4 linked regions of the Caenorhabditis elegans genome follow. The main gene of each other region encodes a partner of the protein of the gene in region 3 in a complex. Each region holds a gene or a part of one and is shown on either strand. Other genes may lie near its edges.

Region 1 (4,926 bases), on a different chromosome or scaffold from region 3:
AACTACTGGAATAACTACGTAGAATTGTCCTGCATGAGTGTGTCCAGATAAGACAATATCAATTTCTGATAATTCTTTCGGATGATCTACGATGAATTCTCGAATTGATGCCGGATTGTGTGCCATGACGATTTGAGAAGTATTTGATGGACATCGATGGATGGCTTTTGGTAGATCCATTTTAGTGTTCAAGATTCCAGATTTCGGACTTGAAATATCGTTTACTCCAGCCAAACAGACTCCTTTCAGCATTGTACTTCTGAAAAATATCACTGTTACTTCCAAGAAAAACTCAAAAACTTTGTAAAACTTACTCGTTTTCAAGAACATTAATACGGCCATTTTTGTAGAATCTTATCCATTCCTGAACGTCTCCATAATAATATTCATGATTGCCAGTTACGAAATAAGTAGGTGCGTGAGCAGGGAGTTGACTGAAAACAAAAATTGAAATTTTGTGAATCAAACTAATTCGCCTACAGAATTGGTCGAACTCTATCCTCGATTTCCGCAACAGGAGCATCTACCATATCTCCAACAATCAGAATAGCATCAACTGGATTTTCAAGCACTTTTTCGACAACTTGATTGATTTGTTCCGAATAAACACTTGCACCAGCGTGCAAATCAGAGATCACTGCCAATTTTAATCGATTTCCATCAGCAGTGAAGTTTTTTATTTTGATGGTCTTTTCTTTGACAACAATCCAATCGCGTGATATAAACATACTGACTGACAGAAGCAAGGTGATTATCATTGTGAATCTGAAAATAACATTTTTAATGATAAGTTCCGAAATGAGATGTTTTTTGTTACTTTATTTGAGATCTTCTTTTCCACATGAGATCGTTAAAATAAGGAACCTTTCCTATTATTTCCAAAATCGAAGCGGTGTAATGGAACATCTGAGAAAATTTTTTTAAAATAATTTAAATATTATTGAAATTAATATTACCTTCATTTTTCCAGCATAGAAATTAACAATCCCAAATCCACATACGAATGCAATCATGTTAGTCCATATTCCCGCGCAGATTGAGGTGAGATCGAAGAGAAGCCACTGAAATGCAAGAGACTCTTTTAACAGCAACACAATTTCTAAAAACAAACCTGGAGAAATGCTGGGGCATAATACATAAAATAAATCGCTTGTCCGAGAACTAGGAAAATAATAAGGCCATCCGAGCATCGTTTCCGGATTGTCTGAAATGAGAATAGGTCAGTTTTTGGTGAGAAGAAGATTTAATCGATTTGAAGAGAAAAATAGTTATGGTCTTTGAAATCGTAGCAGGAAAACAAAATAAATTTTTATTTAAAAGCAAATTCTTGTTTTGCTAACTTTTTCCAACAAGAATATTGCAATTTGTTGAAATTTCAGTGTCGAACGAAAAAAAAAGAAAATTTTGTTCAGCAACAACACTCCGCCTTGACACCTCTCGCGTTGTTTATCGTCATTGATGGGTCTCGCAACGCACGGCGCGTCTTCAAATTTGGGTTTTTTCTGTTTTCCTCCATCTTCCGAATATTATTGATTTCTCTCACGTATTGATCAAAAATTGTTCTGGTTAACGTTTGTATTGCAGCGTTCTTAAAAACCGATAAAATTTAGATTTAGAACAGAAAAGAATCAGTTTTTTACGATGGCAACAAAATATCATTCATTATTCTTATAATTAACACTTTTCGTAGCTTTTCTCGTAATCAAAGTCATCATTTACAGATCTAAGCAATCGAAAATCTTGATTCGTCCAGGCAGGTCCTGTAGAAATGAACCCGGTTTGTAAAATAAGAAATCGATATTATATTAAACTAACATTTGCAGACAAACTACGATCCCCGTATCGGCCAACCGGCACAAAGTCGACCACAAGTATCCCTGAGTATGGGAAGACGAATTGTTCAAATGCCTACAGGTCTTCCTCGTTCATACCAAGATGAGAGTCACAATGAACCTGTGGGCTGGGATGAACCTTCGGGAGTTGGAGGATCTAGTGGAGCAGGAGGTCAACAATCTGACAAACCAACCGGACTCAGACATTTTTCCACGAAAGTTTGTGAAAAGGTGAAAGAAAAAGGATTGACGAATTACAATGAAGTGGCTGATGAACTGGTAGCAGATTACTTTCAAAATAATCTTATCAAGCAGATTGATGTTGTGGTAAGAAGTTTGTTTTTCTTCTTTTGAAAAAAAACTTTTTTTTTCTAGAAACAAGAATACGATATGAAAAATATTCGGAGGAGAGTATACGATGCGTTGAACGTTCTTTTGGCAATGAATATCATCACAAAAAGCAAGAAAGATATCAGATGGATTGGACTTCCTGCTTCAGCTTCACAAGAAATTTCGAGATTGGAAGAAGAGAAATCGCGACGGGAAGCCAGCATAAGTTCCAAAAAGCAGGCTCTCGAAGAAATGGTATTGCAAATTGTTTCTTACAAAAATTTGGTCGAACGGAATAGAAAAAATGAGCAGTACGTTTGAGTGTTAAATATTTTAGAAAAGTTAAATTTTCAGCAAAAATGGTCGCCCAGAAAACGACACTGTACTTCATCTTCCGTTTTTAATAATTAATACTGATAAAGAGTAAGTTGAAATTCCAAAATTATAATAGTCTCAAATATCTATTTTTAAGAGCAAATGTGGAATGCAGTGTATCATCAGACAAATCCGAATTTCTGTTCTCGTTCGACAAGAAGTTTGAAATTCACGATGATTTCGAAATTTTAAAAAGTAAATTTAAATGCCAAAAACCGATAAGATCCACATTTTTCAGAGTTGAACCTTGCATGCAGTTTGGAGACTACAAATCCCACAGCGGAAGAAGTCAAAACTGCGAAAAGCTTTTTGCCAACCTTACACCAGCACTATGTCGACGAAATCATTGCCAGTAAGTATTTCTTTTTAAAAATCAATCATGGAAACCACAATTTTCAGACCGTAAAAAGGTTGAAGCAGAAAAAGAGGAAAAGAGAAAACAACAACAGTTGATTGCTGATCAAATGTCTATGAACCTCTCACAAGCCCAATACGTTGAGCCGACAAGCTCTTTGGCGCAAATGTCATATTCATCGCGATTCAACAGACAGCTTCAGGAGCATTTGATAAACGATGGAAGTGAGGACAGAAGTGGTAAAAAAGTTTTTTAAAAACATTAAAAAAATTGTTTTTTCTAGCTGCTGCCGGTATAATGGAACGCGATTATGATATGGATAAGAATGTTAATCAGGGATCAGCCAGCCGAGGGCCAATGTATAATACTTATAGTCCACAAAAGATTCGAGCTCAAGTTAACACGCCTCTTCAAGTACCACCCGTTACCAAACGATATTACGTACAGAAGACACAAGGACCAATGAAGGTTTGTTCAAAATGAAGATTTTTCAGTACAACTAAAACATTTTCAGCATGATATGACTCCCGTCGTTCGAACTGTCAATCGGCCGTACTCTACTGTACCTCCAGATCGCAGGCTCTCAACTGGAGCTACTTCTGTGAATTCAGGACCTGTAAAATACTACGTGCCACAAGGACATCAACCGATGCATCAGCCAGTTGGTCAGAGATATGTAAGTTCGTTTTAAAGATTTCACAAACTGATTTTTCTTATTTTTCAGAGAGTTCGTCCACAGCAACCACAAATGAGTCATATGGGTCAGCCACATCAAGTGCAACAGAGAGTTGTCTATCCTGCTGGAAGCATTTCTGGACATCAGTTACAACCTGGACAACGAATCGTAACTCAGCGAATTGTTGCTCCAGGTGGTCCACACCCGCCGGGCACAATTGTTCGGAAAGTGATTCGTAAAATTGTTGTCAACAATCCAAAGCAATCTCCAGCTCAACAAGTTATACAAAAGAAAATGATGGAGCAAGGTAATTTAAATTTGCCTTAAATAATTTAAATAATTTAATTTCAGATATGTGCACATTTGAACGCAAAACGGAACAGCCGATGACTTCTGCGCAGGCCGCTGCTCTCATTCAACACCCTCAACCGGAGGAATACGATTATTTCCAGTAAATGTTTAATGTAACTAGTTGTTATCCCCCTTTTCCCAGTTTTTAAAGGTTCTCAAACGATTCTCATCTGCTTTTAAAATAGTTTCTATACGAGTTTCAATTTTATTTCTAGACTCCTTTAAAATCCCCTCTTCTTTAATCTTTAAAATAGTATAGTCTTCTTCGTCGATTCTATTCCGACATTTGCCAGATTAGAATTGACGACAGATTTCATAATCTACCTTTTACATTATTATTTTGTGTTCAATTTGACATTTTGAAATATGCTTCTTATATGCCCCGACTTTGACAGCATTATATGTAACTCAATGCTCCCGATTTTACCATCATTTTTTATGAAAGAATGATAGATTATAATTTTTAGTTTTACCTGCATTTTTCGGCGATCCAACGATTTCTCCTTGACAATGTCATCGTCGAACCATCTCATCAGCTGGCCGTATGCAAACACATTTAACAGAGTTAAAATGCACTTTAATTGGATTAAATTAATTAGATTTTTTAATTAGAAGAAGCAACTCACTTCAATGCGGAACACGGCAATGACTCGACGGCGGTTACCAACTAAATATCCTTCCACTGATTCAATCTGGAATATGATATCTTATAGAAAAAACTGGGCTTATGTAAATCAACTCACCCAAAATCTTGAGCAATACGTGAGCAGAATCCAGGAGATAACCGAGCCAAAAACGAGAAATCGCTCGAAACTCATCTGAAATTGAAACTGCGAAGACATACTCACTCGAGATCTTTTTTCTGATCGCTTTTCCTGTTTAGCATAGAATTGTCAATGTTCTCTCTCAGTTTATCGCCCAAACTCATCTCCTTACATCCGATTTCTATCGGGAGAAGGAGAAAATTTAGAGAATGACCATTTCAAAAGTACGTGGAAGCGACTGGA
Region 2 (4,826 bases), 3.8 Mb from region 3:
TGATTTACAATATTAAAGGAAATTTATCCAGATGGCAATGAATTGACCCAAGGATGTCAGTTTTTAAATTAATGAAAAAAATTTCAATTTTTTCAATTTTAAAGTAATTTCCAATAATTTTTAAAGAACGAATTGAATCCATTATATTTTTCCAATTAAAACAAATTCGATAAGTCACCAATTTTTTTTCGGTATTTCTATAGAAATACAATTGTATAAATATCATAAAAACCAAAAAAAAATTTCGAAATTTTTAACTTTAAATCGCGAGAAAAATAAAATCCAATTTTTTTTTGTTTTTGGTACGAAATTTGAACAAGAAATTTTTTGTTTTTTTTTGTCAAAAATATTTTTTGGCATCCTTGATTCTCAACTTATCCATATTTAATTGTGACAAATCAAGTAACGACGAAACTAAGCTGCCAAAATTGTTCTAGTTTCTTCCAACGTTCTTATCATTCTTTATTTCTCCACATACTCTCAGCTGATTCTAGTGCTCTTCTCTATTTTCAACGTCCCTCTCTCTATCTCCCAATGCCCTCATTTCTACAGTTTCATGCAATATTTACTCAACCGACACATGAAGAATTGAAAGGGGGAGAAAAAGAGAATCATATTGTCGTGACATCGACCATATCAGTCGTATGTCACCTCCCCGACTCTGCTTCTCCTTTTCTTTTCTCTCGTAGAGGTCTCTTGTTGGCACACTCAGACACACACAAATGCATTTATAAACCATATAAGCCAAGAAAATTGTATTGATTCCAGAAGAACCATGACAACCGAGTCTTCTCAAACGACGGATCCGTATCAGCACCCGCAACAACGGGCTGAACCACATCAGCCAACACAGCGGATAGCTGCTGAACCGGAGCCAAGGGTATTTTGTGGACTTCCAATTGGTGTAAGTTCAGAAATTTTGAATCTCAGCAAGGATTGAACATTTTTCAGGGAGCTGTTGGAATTCTCGGATCCATTCTCATGATATGTCAAATATTCGGACTTTTGTATCCATCTCCATTTGTGCTCTACGTTTTCGAGATTTCTATTGGAAGCGCCATGATGTTTGTTCTATCAACTGGTGCAAAGCGTAGAAAAATTGCCTATATCACTGCTTACATGTTATATCTAGTACGTTTTAAATATAACTCACAAGATTCGATGTTCCTAGTCAATTATGGAAGCATCAATATTCTCGTTAATATACACTTTGAGAAATAATTATCAATTTCAGTCAATGTACACATTTTGGGTGTTTTTCTTGATCCTGGGAGCAGTTATTGCATGTATTTATTTATCGGATAACAATGATAACATTTGCAATCCAGGTTAGTTTCAATACAATTTTCCGGAATAAAGAAACTGATTTGAAGATAACCAAAAGGATGTAACCACTGCGAAGGGATGTGTTCCAAAAATGACAACTGGAGAATTAGAAATGGTTATAATCTCATGTTTCTTCCTAACTGTTAGTATTATTGTTGCACTCGTCCAAATGCGATATATGATGATTCTCTACAACTTCCTCAGAAGAAATGCATACAGATTGTGAGTCCATTATTTCAATTATGAATATTCATTCAATGGTTCAGACCTCAACATCAGGCGTCAAATTACAATGTTCAATACATTGTACCAACACCAATGAGTCCCAGTGGTATGCCACCACCACCAAGATATACCGCCTACGCCCCACCAATGTCAAGTCAAACTGCTCCTCCGATTCCTACAAAACAACAACCTGTTGATAGCGAGAGTTCGACGACGTCGGCATCAACGAGGAGTGGTTCTTTCGTATCGACACCGATTTTGACAGTTGCCAATGTGAGTTTTGAAAATTTTTTGAAGCTTTATGAAATCCGTTTCAACGACTATTCATTAATCAATAATATAAAACTAAGCTATTCTTTCTATATTATAAGCTGCATTAGATAAATACGTCTTAATGCGATTATAATTAACTTCAAATAACCCGCTAAATTTTGTTACGGAGCGCTTGTAGTCGAAAAAGTAATACTAATATCAGAAAAATGGTTATTATTGGGAAACCTCCGATTTCCAGCAAATTCGAGCCAGAATGAGCTCTAAAATTCTTTCCCTATGACATCACTAAAACTCTGTAACAATTTCAGAGTGAACCAACAGGAGCTGACAATTCGGCGTTTACAAATGATGAAGATCCAACCCGACCACGTGCAACTTCTCGGCCGCCTGCATATAGTGACGTGGTTGAACCAGGACATATAACAGTCCGAAGTGACGTTCTTCAATAGATTTCACTCTGTCTTCTATGTATATTTTGACATTTGCTCGTGGTTGTGTGCAATAATAAAAATGTTGCTTGATTGGTAGCTATTGTTGTTAGTGACCTCTTAACTAGTCAGGTGACTGAGCGCTTGATAACTTCATAATTTCCTATATAAGTAGGAGATGATAGCGAGTTGTGATAAAGGTGATAATGAACTGGGGAATATCTATCTTCATAGAGAAAATTATTGGAAAAACGAAGGATGCTCTTAATATGTAAAACAAAGCAGTCATTTAGATTATCACATGAGGCTGCAAACCCTTGTTTTTGTTTAATATTTTTGAAAAGGAGAAAATAATCAGATTTAATATTTATAAAACCCCATACCTTGCTTTATATCTAAGTCGATTCGTTTTGCTGGTGGCTCTTCACATATTGTATCCGTTGTCTCCGTGCCGGCTAACACGGCATCGAATGGGCTTTCTGAAAATAAATCAATTAATATCTAAATTTATTTGCGGTAATTTGAGGCTGAGTTCTAAAAAATTTCTCTCCCTGATGGAAAGGCAAGTAAAATCTTGAACGCTGTTTAAAAAATTTCGAAAAAATCGAACCCTGCGCAAATTGCATTAATCAGTTTTTCTATTCACTGCGGCGGAGAAACTAGCTTTGATAACGCCTCACTTTCCAGACAAGTATAATTATACGCTTTGAATAAAATCATTTAAAGCTTACGCTCGTGAAATGGGTCAGTTGTTGATGTTCCAGGCTCATCGGCTGCTCGTTTCGGCATATTGAAGAAGTTTTTACCAGTCTGAAGAATATTTTTGTGTTTTTTATTCGATTAAACCCAAGAAAGTTCAGATAAAATGTAATCGAAATCGTTTAAAATTAGAGAAAGCAAAATAATTTTCAAGAACGCGCTCATTTTTTTCTAGTCGCGCGCGCAATGATGTTCCACAATTCGCAATAGAGCGCATTTGTGCACGTCCTGGAGACACCATCGATTTTGAGAAACTGAATAGGAAGAAGAGGATACTTCAGAACTTTCTAAAACTGAAGCATTAAATGTGATTAAAAATTGTGAATGTGAGAGAAATCGAGTTTGCAATTCAGAAAATGTATGTTCCAGTTGAACACATCTTACCTTCTACTTATTTTTTCGGCAACCAGCATTTCCCCCAAATTTCGTTCCCTTTGTATTGATGGTGTCTCAAATCTGTTTTTTTTCATTCTCGAGTTTTCCTGAATTTTCTTTAATTTTTCAGTATTGAATGTAAAATGTCTAGTGTTTTGGACGTCACAAAGCCGGATTTTGATGTCGAAGCATTTGTCGTCAAGTTAGTTTTCAGAGATATGCACTGATAAATATTATTAATTCAGATTACTCCGTGAAAAGTCGCTTGATGGATTAGTAAAAGAAGAGGAGGAGATGGTTTCAGCTGTGAGAAGGCTTGATTCAGATGTACATCAAATAGTCTACGAAAATTACAATAAATTTCTGACTGCGACAAATACGGTTCGAAAAATACAAGATGAATTCACGCAACTCGATTCTGTTAGTTTTCGAATAATAATAAAATCAGACAATTTTAATGTTAATTTTCAGGAAATGAAATCTCTCAGCCGAAGTATGTCGACAATATCGACTCTAATTGGGAATCTTGACGGAGTTTTGGGCGAAAAACGTGACGATATTCTACAATTGGGAAGCTCGTATAAAGTTGTGAATAGTTTGAAGCATATTTTCGATCTTCCTCATGTTCTGCGGGTAACATTTTTAATTTTAAAACTTTTTTTTCATATTGCATCAAACTAAACAACTTCCAGAGTGAATTCGATGAGCGAAACTATGGAGAAGTTCTTCGAATGTTCAAATTAGCAGAAGAGTCACTATCGCAGTATAAAGACGTTCCAACAGTTCAATTAGTTCTTCAAAAAAGTAAGAAAATTTATGATATGACGGAAAATCAATTAATGGATCAACTGCGAAATCCGGCTTCTGGTGCAGAATTAGTATCAGAAGCTGTAGATTTATTATTAACAATTGGAAGAGATGAAGATGAAGTTCAGAAAGTGTTGCTCACGTGTTCAGAACAATCTTTAAGAGTAGATTTGAAAGAATTATCAGCAAATCATTCGGATGTTTTGGATCTCGTTGATAAAGCTTCTGAGAGTTTTATTCCAAATCTCACTCTGATTGCAACAACTCATGATCGATTATTTGAGGATAAACGAGAAGATCTTATTACGGTTTTGAAGGTTTGTTAATTTAAAAACGATTTGGATTAAATTAAAGTTTTTTTACAGACGGAAATGAATTCTCTGCATGCTTTGGTTTCAAAAGTTTTTCTATCATCAAGTGATGCAAAAGACTGTTCAATTGTCGTCCGGGCTCTTGATAGATATTTTCGAAAAATCTCAACCTGCCGCTATGTGATTCCTGGACTTGACTTTCTTCCATTAACTATCGAACTAATCAATGCAGTATCAAAACACGAGATTGATTTATCATTGACAAGAATAAAAGAAGAACTCAAAAATGGTTTGAATGAAGTTCGAAAAGCATTAATTAATG
Region 3 (4,110 bases):
CTGGAAGGTCAAGAATATAGCCAAGAACAGCTTCGCCAATCAGTCGAATATTATCAATAAGCTCATCTTCGTCGAGAGCCGATGGGAGATCAAGAATTGAATTACGAGCTGGATCAGATGGAGATGGAAGAGTAGACAGGGTGATAGCTGGCATTCTCTTGATGTTAAATTTCTCGTGTTCCCAAGCGCTTACTGTCGTCAAAGAGATTTTTTTCGTTACCAACTCTATATTCTTCTTTGGAGAAATGCTGCTGAAATATCTTACGAACGATTAAAATCAATAAACTTTTAAAACAGTACTTAAGTCTTCTGAGAAGTTGAGCTGCTACTGAATTTTCTGATGGTGTCTTTCCAGCATGCATGAAAAATCCTCCCGTTTTGCGACCAATTGCCTCAATACATATTGCCAAGTCAACACGATCATCTGAAAACCCTTCAAAACCGGTAAAACGACACTCTCCTTTTACTGCATTACCTTTTCTAGAAAGTCCAGATTTGGCATAATCAGCGCTGTCAAAGCCTTTCTGGTACTCATCGATCCAGTGACGAGTTCCTTGATAATTGAGCTTTCCAGCTGCTGTCCAAATGAACAAAATATTGTATGGAGGACGTGTGCTTGGAGAATCATAGAATTTTGACAGAACAGCAAGCAATTCGAGAAGTGCAACTATACCAGACCCATTGGAATCAGCGCCAGGCGAGACTCCTGGAACGGCCGATTGTGTGTCATAGTGTGCCACAAATGCAATCGTAGGTGCAGCACGATCTCCACTACTCAAGCGACCAACAATATTCAGTGGTTTGTATGAAGGTGGAAGTTCTGGACTTTGATCGGAAGAAGTGATACTGATTGTGTTTCCGGAAAGTGATTGAAGCAAATGTTGCAGGGCTGTGGGAGCTTTTTCCGAGCGAGTATTGACATCGTGAAGAATAGAAACGGCGTCATCATTGAAAGGAGCCACATAAACAGCCAAGTCGGTCTTTGCGCTCAACAACTTTGCTTCAAGATCGATGAATGCCTGAATAATGAGCATAAATAACTTTTATGGCAATATGAAATTAAATGTTCAAGCTAACCTTCCGATCAATATCGTTAAGTTCATCAAGATTGTCGGGAATGAAAATAAGCACGGCACCGGTAGAAAGTGCCCACATGTCATCGACATCTGTTGTAAGAAGATCTCGCCATGTTGTAACCATAGTTCTAGATATTAAAATATTACTATTTACAAATGAAATATCCAAAAAAACCTGCGAAGAGTTCTTGCACCCAAGGAAACAGCTTCATATGATACGCGATAATTTTTGCATCCATAAATGTTACCACTGATTTCGTATTGATGAAGACGGTACGCATGAAACTCGGTTTCTACGACTTCTCCAACTTGCTGGGACCCGTTCACCTAAATATGGAGAGTTCATCTTCTAAATCATTACCAACAACTTACTACACAAATGGTTAACATTAAAGTCATGTAGAAAAGAAGAGCCGGACTTCGGAAAAAATCGATGATTTCATCCTGCATCTGAAAAAAACATATCTTAAGCTCAAAATCACGAGAATCCTGTGCAAATTAGGATGAAAGATCTTTCGGAGTAGGAATTATTTAATAACACAAACTATCATGATTCTACAGAAATCGATAGAATTAAACCAGAATTGATGATATATAATACCCGAGTAGGGAGAAAACTGCATGAGTTTTCTGAGCGGAATTCAAATGAGCCAAACATGCTCTACCGTACCTTGCAACAGCGGTGAAGGCAAATCGTTGCGAGACCCCTCCCCGCGAAAACCGCGACGCGCACACACTTTGAAAGTGGGTTTTATCGGTCTTCTACAGTTTTGGTCACTTTCCCGCATTAAAATTCTCTGTTTTAATATATTTAAATTCAATTGAATTAATATTTTATTATTCACCCCTTCTTTGTTGTATTATTTTATCTAACTACACTGTTTGAACGATAATTATTCTTTGCAAAAATTGAAAATTTCAGGAAATGGCCACTCTTGAAGATGGAACCTCCGAAGATCGCGTCGCAAATGATGAATACAAAATTTGGAAAAAGAACACCCCGTTCTTGTACGATCTCGTAATGACACATGCGCTTGAGTGGCCTTCACTCAGTGTTCAATGGCTCCCAGACGTTGCGAAGGTATGTGTTCTCATATAATTCACAACTTTCATGAAGTGAATTCAAATAATTTAGGATAACAGCGACCATACTATTCATCGGCTCATTCTTGGAACTCATACTTCAGATGAGCAGAATCACTTGCTTATTTCTAAGATCTGTATGCCAACGGATGATGCCCAATTTGATGCATCTCGCTACGATACCGAGCGCAGTGAATACGGTGGTTTCGGAGCTGTTAACGGAAAAGTGGAACCCGATATTCGCATTAACCACGAAGGGGAGGTTAACAGAGCTCGTTACATGCCTCAAAAGTCGAATATCATTGCTACAAAGTCTCCACATGCTGATGTTTACATTTTCGACTATTTAAAGCACTCTGCTGTTCCTCGTGATAACACGTTCAATCCGCTTATCAGACTGAAAGGACACACGAAGGAAGGCTATGGATTATCATGGAATCCAAACAAAGAAGGTTTGATTCTATCAGCGTCAGATGATCAGACAGTTTGTCATTGGGATATCAACGCAAATCAGAATGTTGCCGGGGAATTGCAAGCGAAGGATGTTTTCAAAGGTCACGAGTCAGTCGTTGAAGATGTTGCTTGGCACGTTTTGCATGATGGTGTCTTCGGATCGGTTGGTGACGATAAGAAATTGTAAGCTTTTGTTTTTTTTCTATTTATTAACTAATTAAAAATTATAGGCTCATTTGGGATGTGCGCACAAGCACTCCTGGACACTGTATCGATGCTCATTCTGCCGAAGTTAACTGTCTCGCATTCAATCCATATTCCGAATTCATTCTGGCCACCGGATCAGCTGATAAAACTGTCGCTCTTTGGGATCTACGTAATCTACGAATGAAACTTCACTCATTTGAATCACATCGTGATGAAATCTTCCAAGTTCAGTGGAGTCCACACAACGAGACTATTCTTGCATCCAGCGGTACTGATAAACGTCTTCATGTGTGGGACCTATCTAAGATTGGAGAAGACCAATCTGCCGAAGACGCGGAAGATGGTCCACCAGAGCTGTTGTTTATTCACGGTGGGCACACCGCCAAGATCAGCGATTTCTCGTGGAACCCGAACGAGCCTTGGGTTGTGTGCAGTGTGTCAGAAGACAATATTCTCCAAGTGTGGCAAATGGCTGATAACATATACAACGAAGTTGACGAAGAAACTCCAGCCGATGTGGTAGAGAGACAACAGTAAAATACGTGAAACGCGCTTAAATTATTTGTATTTAACTTCTATCCTTCTTTAATTTTGCATCTCAACAAATTGTTCATCTTACCATTTATTCAAACGCATATTCTTCACCAACTAAGTTTTTAAAGTTAAAATGTTACCTTGAGATATGATCATATTTTGTTGAACCTGAAATAAATTCGATGACCATTGTCAGATAACTGTTTTGAAATATTATGTTAACGTGATTGTTGTGATAGCTCAGATTGTGATATTTTTGGTTTTTTGTTGTATCTTTTGTTATTTCAGGCAATTTCAGAGCACAATGAGTGAAGCTGAATCGTGTGAAGAAACGAGTAAAGAACATAGAATTTGGAAGAAAAATGTTCCATATCTCTACGATACAGTCGTCACAAAAGAGGTCGAGTGGCCTTCTTTATCAGTGCAATGGATGCCTGATGTCACAAAAGTAAGAATCGGTAAATATGATTTCGCCTTCTTCATTATTTTTTTAAGACAGAGAACTCGGATTCATCGATGCATCGAATGATTCATGGAACACATACTTGTGGAGGAGTTCAGAATCATCTCATGATCTCAAAGTTCACAATAACGACAGACACACCAGAATTCGACGACGCTAAATGGGATTCGGAACGTGAAGAGTTCGGAGGTTATGGAGAGGGCAGCGCTGCAAAATGGGATACTGAGATTAAAATCAACCATCCAGGAGAAGTTCATAGGGCACGTTACATGCCACATAATCCTTTCATTATTG
Region 4 (2,793 bases), on a different chromosome or scaffold from region 3:
TTTTGTGATCTGGGATATTGGCGGGCAGGAGAGTCTACGAAAGTCTTGGAGTACTTATTATGTTCAAACAGATGTTGTTATAGTTGGTATGAATAACTTTTAGTAAATGATATTAAAATTAAAATTATTTTCAGTTATTGACAGTTCCGACACCACTAGGATTCCAATTATGAAAGAACAACTGCACAATATGCTTCAACATGAAGATCTTGCTCGTGCTCATATTCTGGTTTTGGCCAACAAACAGGATCTGCCCGGAGCAATGAATCCAGCAGAAGTATCCACACAACTCGGTCTCCAGACATTACGAGGTGCTCGGAAATGGCAGATAAATGGATGTTGTGCTGTGAAAGGAGAAGGATTGCCGGAAGCTCTCGAATGGATTGCCAACAATTTGTAGAAACGTTTATATTTATAAATTTCAAAAATTGCCTTAAACTTTGCCAGCCTCGTTTTTTAAACTCTCACTGTGAGATTATGTGATTTGCCAACTTTCTAATTGTGCTCTGTTAGTAATCAAGTTTATTCATGTGAATGTTAATGAATGATGAGATCATTATTTTTTGATAGACCACTATTCAATTCACTGGCTTCCTGTCGTTTCTTCCGCTACATTTTTCGGTGGTGTTGGCTGCAAATATCTCGGAGAAGCCGAGCCAGTGGGTTTCAGCACGTTGAGCAACTTTCCACGTCGGCACTGGCGAGCTTCTTCGATTCCAAGAGTGTACACCGAGTTTTGAATGTTTCGGATGAGCTTGGCGATATCGTCGGCTGGGCAGTGGCTCATTGCTGAAAGTTAAAAATTGAAATGAATATGGAACAATATGAATACGAACTATTAACAGTCACAGCATCTTCCTTGAGAAACGAAATATTCTTGTATGGCGATTCGTAACCTTTTGATACTGATTCGCTTTGAAATGCTTCTTCAAAATCGAGACATTTCATTGGAACTGGCTCACTTTCTTCTGGCATTGTTTCGGTGCATTCGAGCATCTTTTTCTGTTGTTCTGAAAATATTTAAAATTCGAAGAATCTTTCTTTTCTACAATATAATACCAACCAAGCATTTTCGCCTGTTCTGCGTTTGATTTCTTTTCGATCATTTGTTGGACGAACATTTCGTCATCTCCAAATTCGTATCCAATAAATCCTAGCGGACGCGACATTTTTTTCCTGAAATTACCGCTATATGTCAGAATTTAAATGTTTAGAATTGAGTAAGTATAGAGCTTGTGACGAATTAAACGTTAGGCCGCAATGAAGTAATTGTATTGATTTCTTCTTCTAAAAAATAATTCTCACAAAACAAATATTTATTTGATGTGAACAAAAACGGGATGTGAAGAAAATTACTCGGGAATTTACAATAAAATACAAAAAAAAATCGATTGCTAGACAGCCTAGCCGGTGGGTACTTTACAAATTTTAAATTTACACAATACGGTTAAAAATAATGAAGAAACGAGAAACAAGGTAAAAAACATGAATCAGTGGGCAGTCGGTGGTGGAATAGAGAAATAGTGTCGGGCAGTCACATGAAGAATGATTCTGAAAAATCAAAAATAGGAACATGGTCCGCAAACACGGTAGCATATTAACGCACCACTTCTCTTTTCTCTTTGCCTCTCCGTTGCTGGCGGTTTGAACAACCTTGCGAGTGTCCCCTCCTGGCTGAGATGCGTGCTTGTGCTCCACTCTGTCAGACTTGGTGCGCTTTCCGCTTCCAGTGGTGAGATCCTAAAATTGAAATTATTCAGTTTAAATACAATATATGCATTGCACTGACCGGTCCTCCGGTTTGCTCGAATGCGGCAGCCATTTCTTCAGCAGTCGACGACATCTCGTTGGTAATTTTCTGCAACAAAAAATTATTATAAAGCTTAGAGACGTGTAAGCAACACAAAAATGAGAGAATGAACCGACACAAGAATGACCAAAACAAGTGTTATCAAAGTGAAATGGACGATGATTGGCAGTTGCATGATTAGAAAGAAGTAGGCAGAAAAGGGAGGAGAGTGCCAAGAAAACAAAACTGTGAAAGAACCGATTGAATAGCATTTGAAACGATTGGAGTGTGTTTATTTGAAGGACGATAGTGACAAATCTAAATTTTGGCGCGCGTAGTGTTGACGAAGATCAAATCTATTTACAAGTGTAAATGTTTAAAATCGATAATTTGAAATTTTCGATTAGGAATAAGGCTGAAAAGTATTTAAACAAAGCTTCAATTGAGAAATACCAGAAAAATTCGTTAAAAATTTTCAACGAGTTTAAAGGAGGGCGCATTTGTGTGGAATTTGTGTGGCGTAGAGATTTCTTTATTGATTTTTCTCGTTTTTTTTTTTTAATATTCTGACTTATATTGCGTTTATCAGCCATAATAAATGTTAAAAAGGTCGAAAATGAGAAAAATCAATGGAGAATGAAAAACAACTCTAAATGAGAGTGCGTTTTTGTAGAAAAGCTCTACAAAAGTGAGAAATAAAGTAACGTTTTCAGGCTTTTTTTCAAGAATAGAAATCTGCCTGAATATTTTTAGCGAATCAACAGCAGACGGACAGTTTCATTCAAATACTCGTATTTATACATTTGCGTTGGCGCCAGAGACACGTGATGGATAGACGAGCGGAGACCATCGAAAAAAGTAAAAATGAAAAGAGACGCAGAGCAGCACATTTTGAGGGCTGACTTGTTTCTGCTAGATATATTGGTGCGGTGTCATCGAAGGCACAGAACAAAAAGAAAAAAGAAGCAAGAAAGAAAAAAAAGAAACGAACAAACAAGACAAAA

What was found.
Region 1: lin-53 (region 3) and dpl-1 share a complex: the UniProt entries of both Caenorhabditis elegans proteins name them as parts of the DRM complex.
Region 2: lin-53 (region 3) and lin-35 share a complex: the UniProt entries of both Caenorhabditis elegans proteins name them as parts of the DRM complex.
Region 4: lin-53 (region 3) and lin-52 share a complex: the UniProt entries of both Caenorhabditis elegans proteins name them as parts of the DRM complex.

The regions. Positions count from the first base shown.
Region 1 is NC_003280.10:9,168,189-9,173,114, forward strand, and holds dpl-1 (Transcription factor dpl-1), read left to right. Parts: upstream 1-1,721; 5' UTR 1,722-1,768; coding exon 1,769-1,777; intron 1,778-1,823; coding exon 1,824-2,159; intron 2,160-2,207; coding exon 2,208-2,473; intron 2,474-2,516; coding exon 2,517-2,585; intron 2,586-2,634; coding exon 2,635-2,732; intron 2,733-2,775; coding exon 2,776-2,889; intron 2,890-2,936; coding exon 2,937-3,131; intron 3,132-3,175; coding exon 3,176-3,360; intron 3,361-3,406; coding exon 3,407-3,568; intron 3,569-3,616; coding exon 3,617-3,875; intron 3,876-3,919; coding exon 3,920-4,023; 3' UTR 4,024-4,377; downstream 4,378-4,926. Other genes in the region: T23G7.2 (Calcineurin-like phosphoesterase domain-containing protein), read right to left, coding at 1-259, 315-434, 481-765, 818-906, 957-1,061, 1,112-1,204, 4,393-4,494, 4,546-4,611 and 1 more. UniProt on the Caenorhabditis elegans protein: Synthetic multivulva class B (synMuvB) protein. SynMuvB proteins are required to repress the induction of vulval development by Ras signaling and probably act by forming the multiprotein DRM complex that represses transcription.
Region 2 is NC_003279.8:5,805,945-5,810,770, reverse strand, and holds the start of lin-35 (Retinoblastoma-like protein homolog lin-35), read right to left. Parts: upstream 3,063-4,826; 5' UTR 3,042-3,062; coding exon 2,984-3,041; intron 2,732-2,983; coding exon 2,636-2,731; intron 2,351-2,635; exon of another isoform or gene 2,274-2,350; coding exon of another isoform or gene 2,133-2,273; intron 1,825-2,132; coding exon of another isoform or gene 1,593-1,824; intron 1,549-1,592; coding exon of another isoform or gene 1,374-1,548; intron 1,329-1,373; coding exon of another isoform or gene 1,235-1,328; intron 1,132-1,234; coding exon of another isoform or gene 952-1,131; intron 905-951; coding exon of another isoform or gene 776-904; exon of another isoform or gene 769-775; intron 1-768. Other genes in the region: C32F10.4 (uncharacterized protein), read left to right, coding at 776-904, 952-1,131, 1,235-1,328, 1,374-1,548, 1,593-1,824, 2,133-2,273; vps-51 (Vacuolar protein sorting-associated protein 51 homolog), read left to right, coding at 3,530-3,588, 3,632-3,806, 3,858-4,019, 4,079-4,510, 4,559-4,826. UniProt on the Caenorhabditis elegans protein: Key regulator of cell division which acts as a transcriptional repressor and negatively regulates cell cycle progression in its active unphosphorylated form, but allows cell cycle progression when phosphorylated.
Region 3 is NC_003279.8:9,617,649-9,621,758, reverse strand, and holds lin-53 (putative histone-binding protein lin-53), read left to right. Parts: upstream 1-1,998; 5' UTR 1,999-2,001; coding exon 2,002-2,157; intron 2,158-2,211; coding exon 2,212-2,795; intron 2,796-2,842; coding exon 2,843-3,356; 3' UTR 3,357-3,548; downstream 3,549-4,110. Other genes in the region: nra-2 (Nicalin), read right to left, coding at 1-260, 301-433, 476-1,019, 1,078-1,204, 1,252-1,403, 1,449-1,526; putative histone-binding protein rba-1, read left to right, coding at 3,658-3,801, 3,849-4,110. UniProt on the Caenorhabditis elegans protein: Core histone-binding subunit that may target chromatin assembly factors, chromatin remodeling factors and histone deacetylases to their histone substrates in a manner that is regulated by nucleosomal DNA.
Region 4 is NC_003281.10:9,823,575-9,826,367, forward strand, and holds lin-52 (Protein lin-52), read right to left. Parts: upstream 1,177-2,793; 5' UTR 1,170-1,176; coding exon 1,064-1,169; intron 1,011-1,063; coding exon 837-1,010; intron 790-836; coding exon 584-789; 3' UTR 509-583; downstream 1-508. Other genes in the region: arl-5 (ADP-ribosylation factor-like protein 5), read left to right, coding at 1-86, 135-400; ZK632.9 (uncharacterized protein), read right to left, coding at 1,551-1,551, 1,607-1,740, 1,790-1,843. UniProt on the Caenorhabditis elegans protein: Synthetic multivulva class B (synMuvB) protein. SynMuvB proteins are required to repress the induction of vulval development by Ras signaling and probably act by forming the multiprotein DRM complex that represses transcription.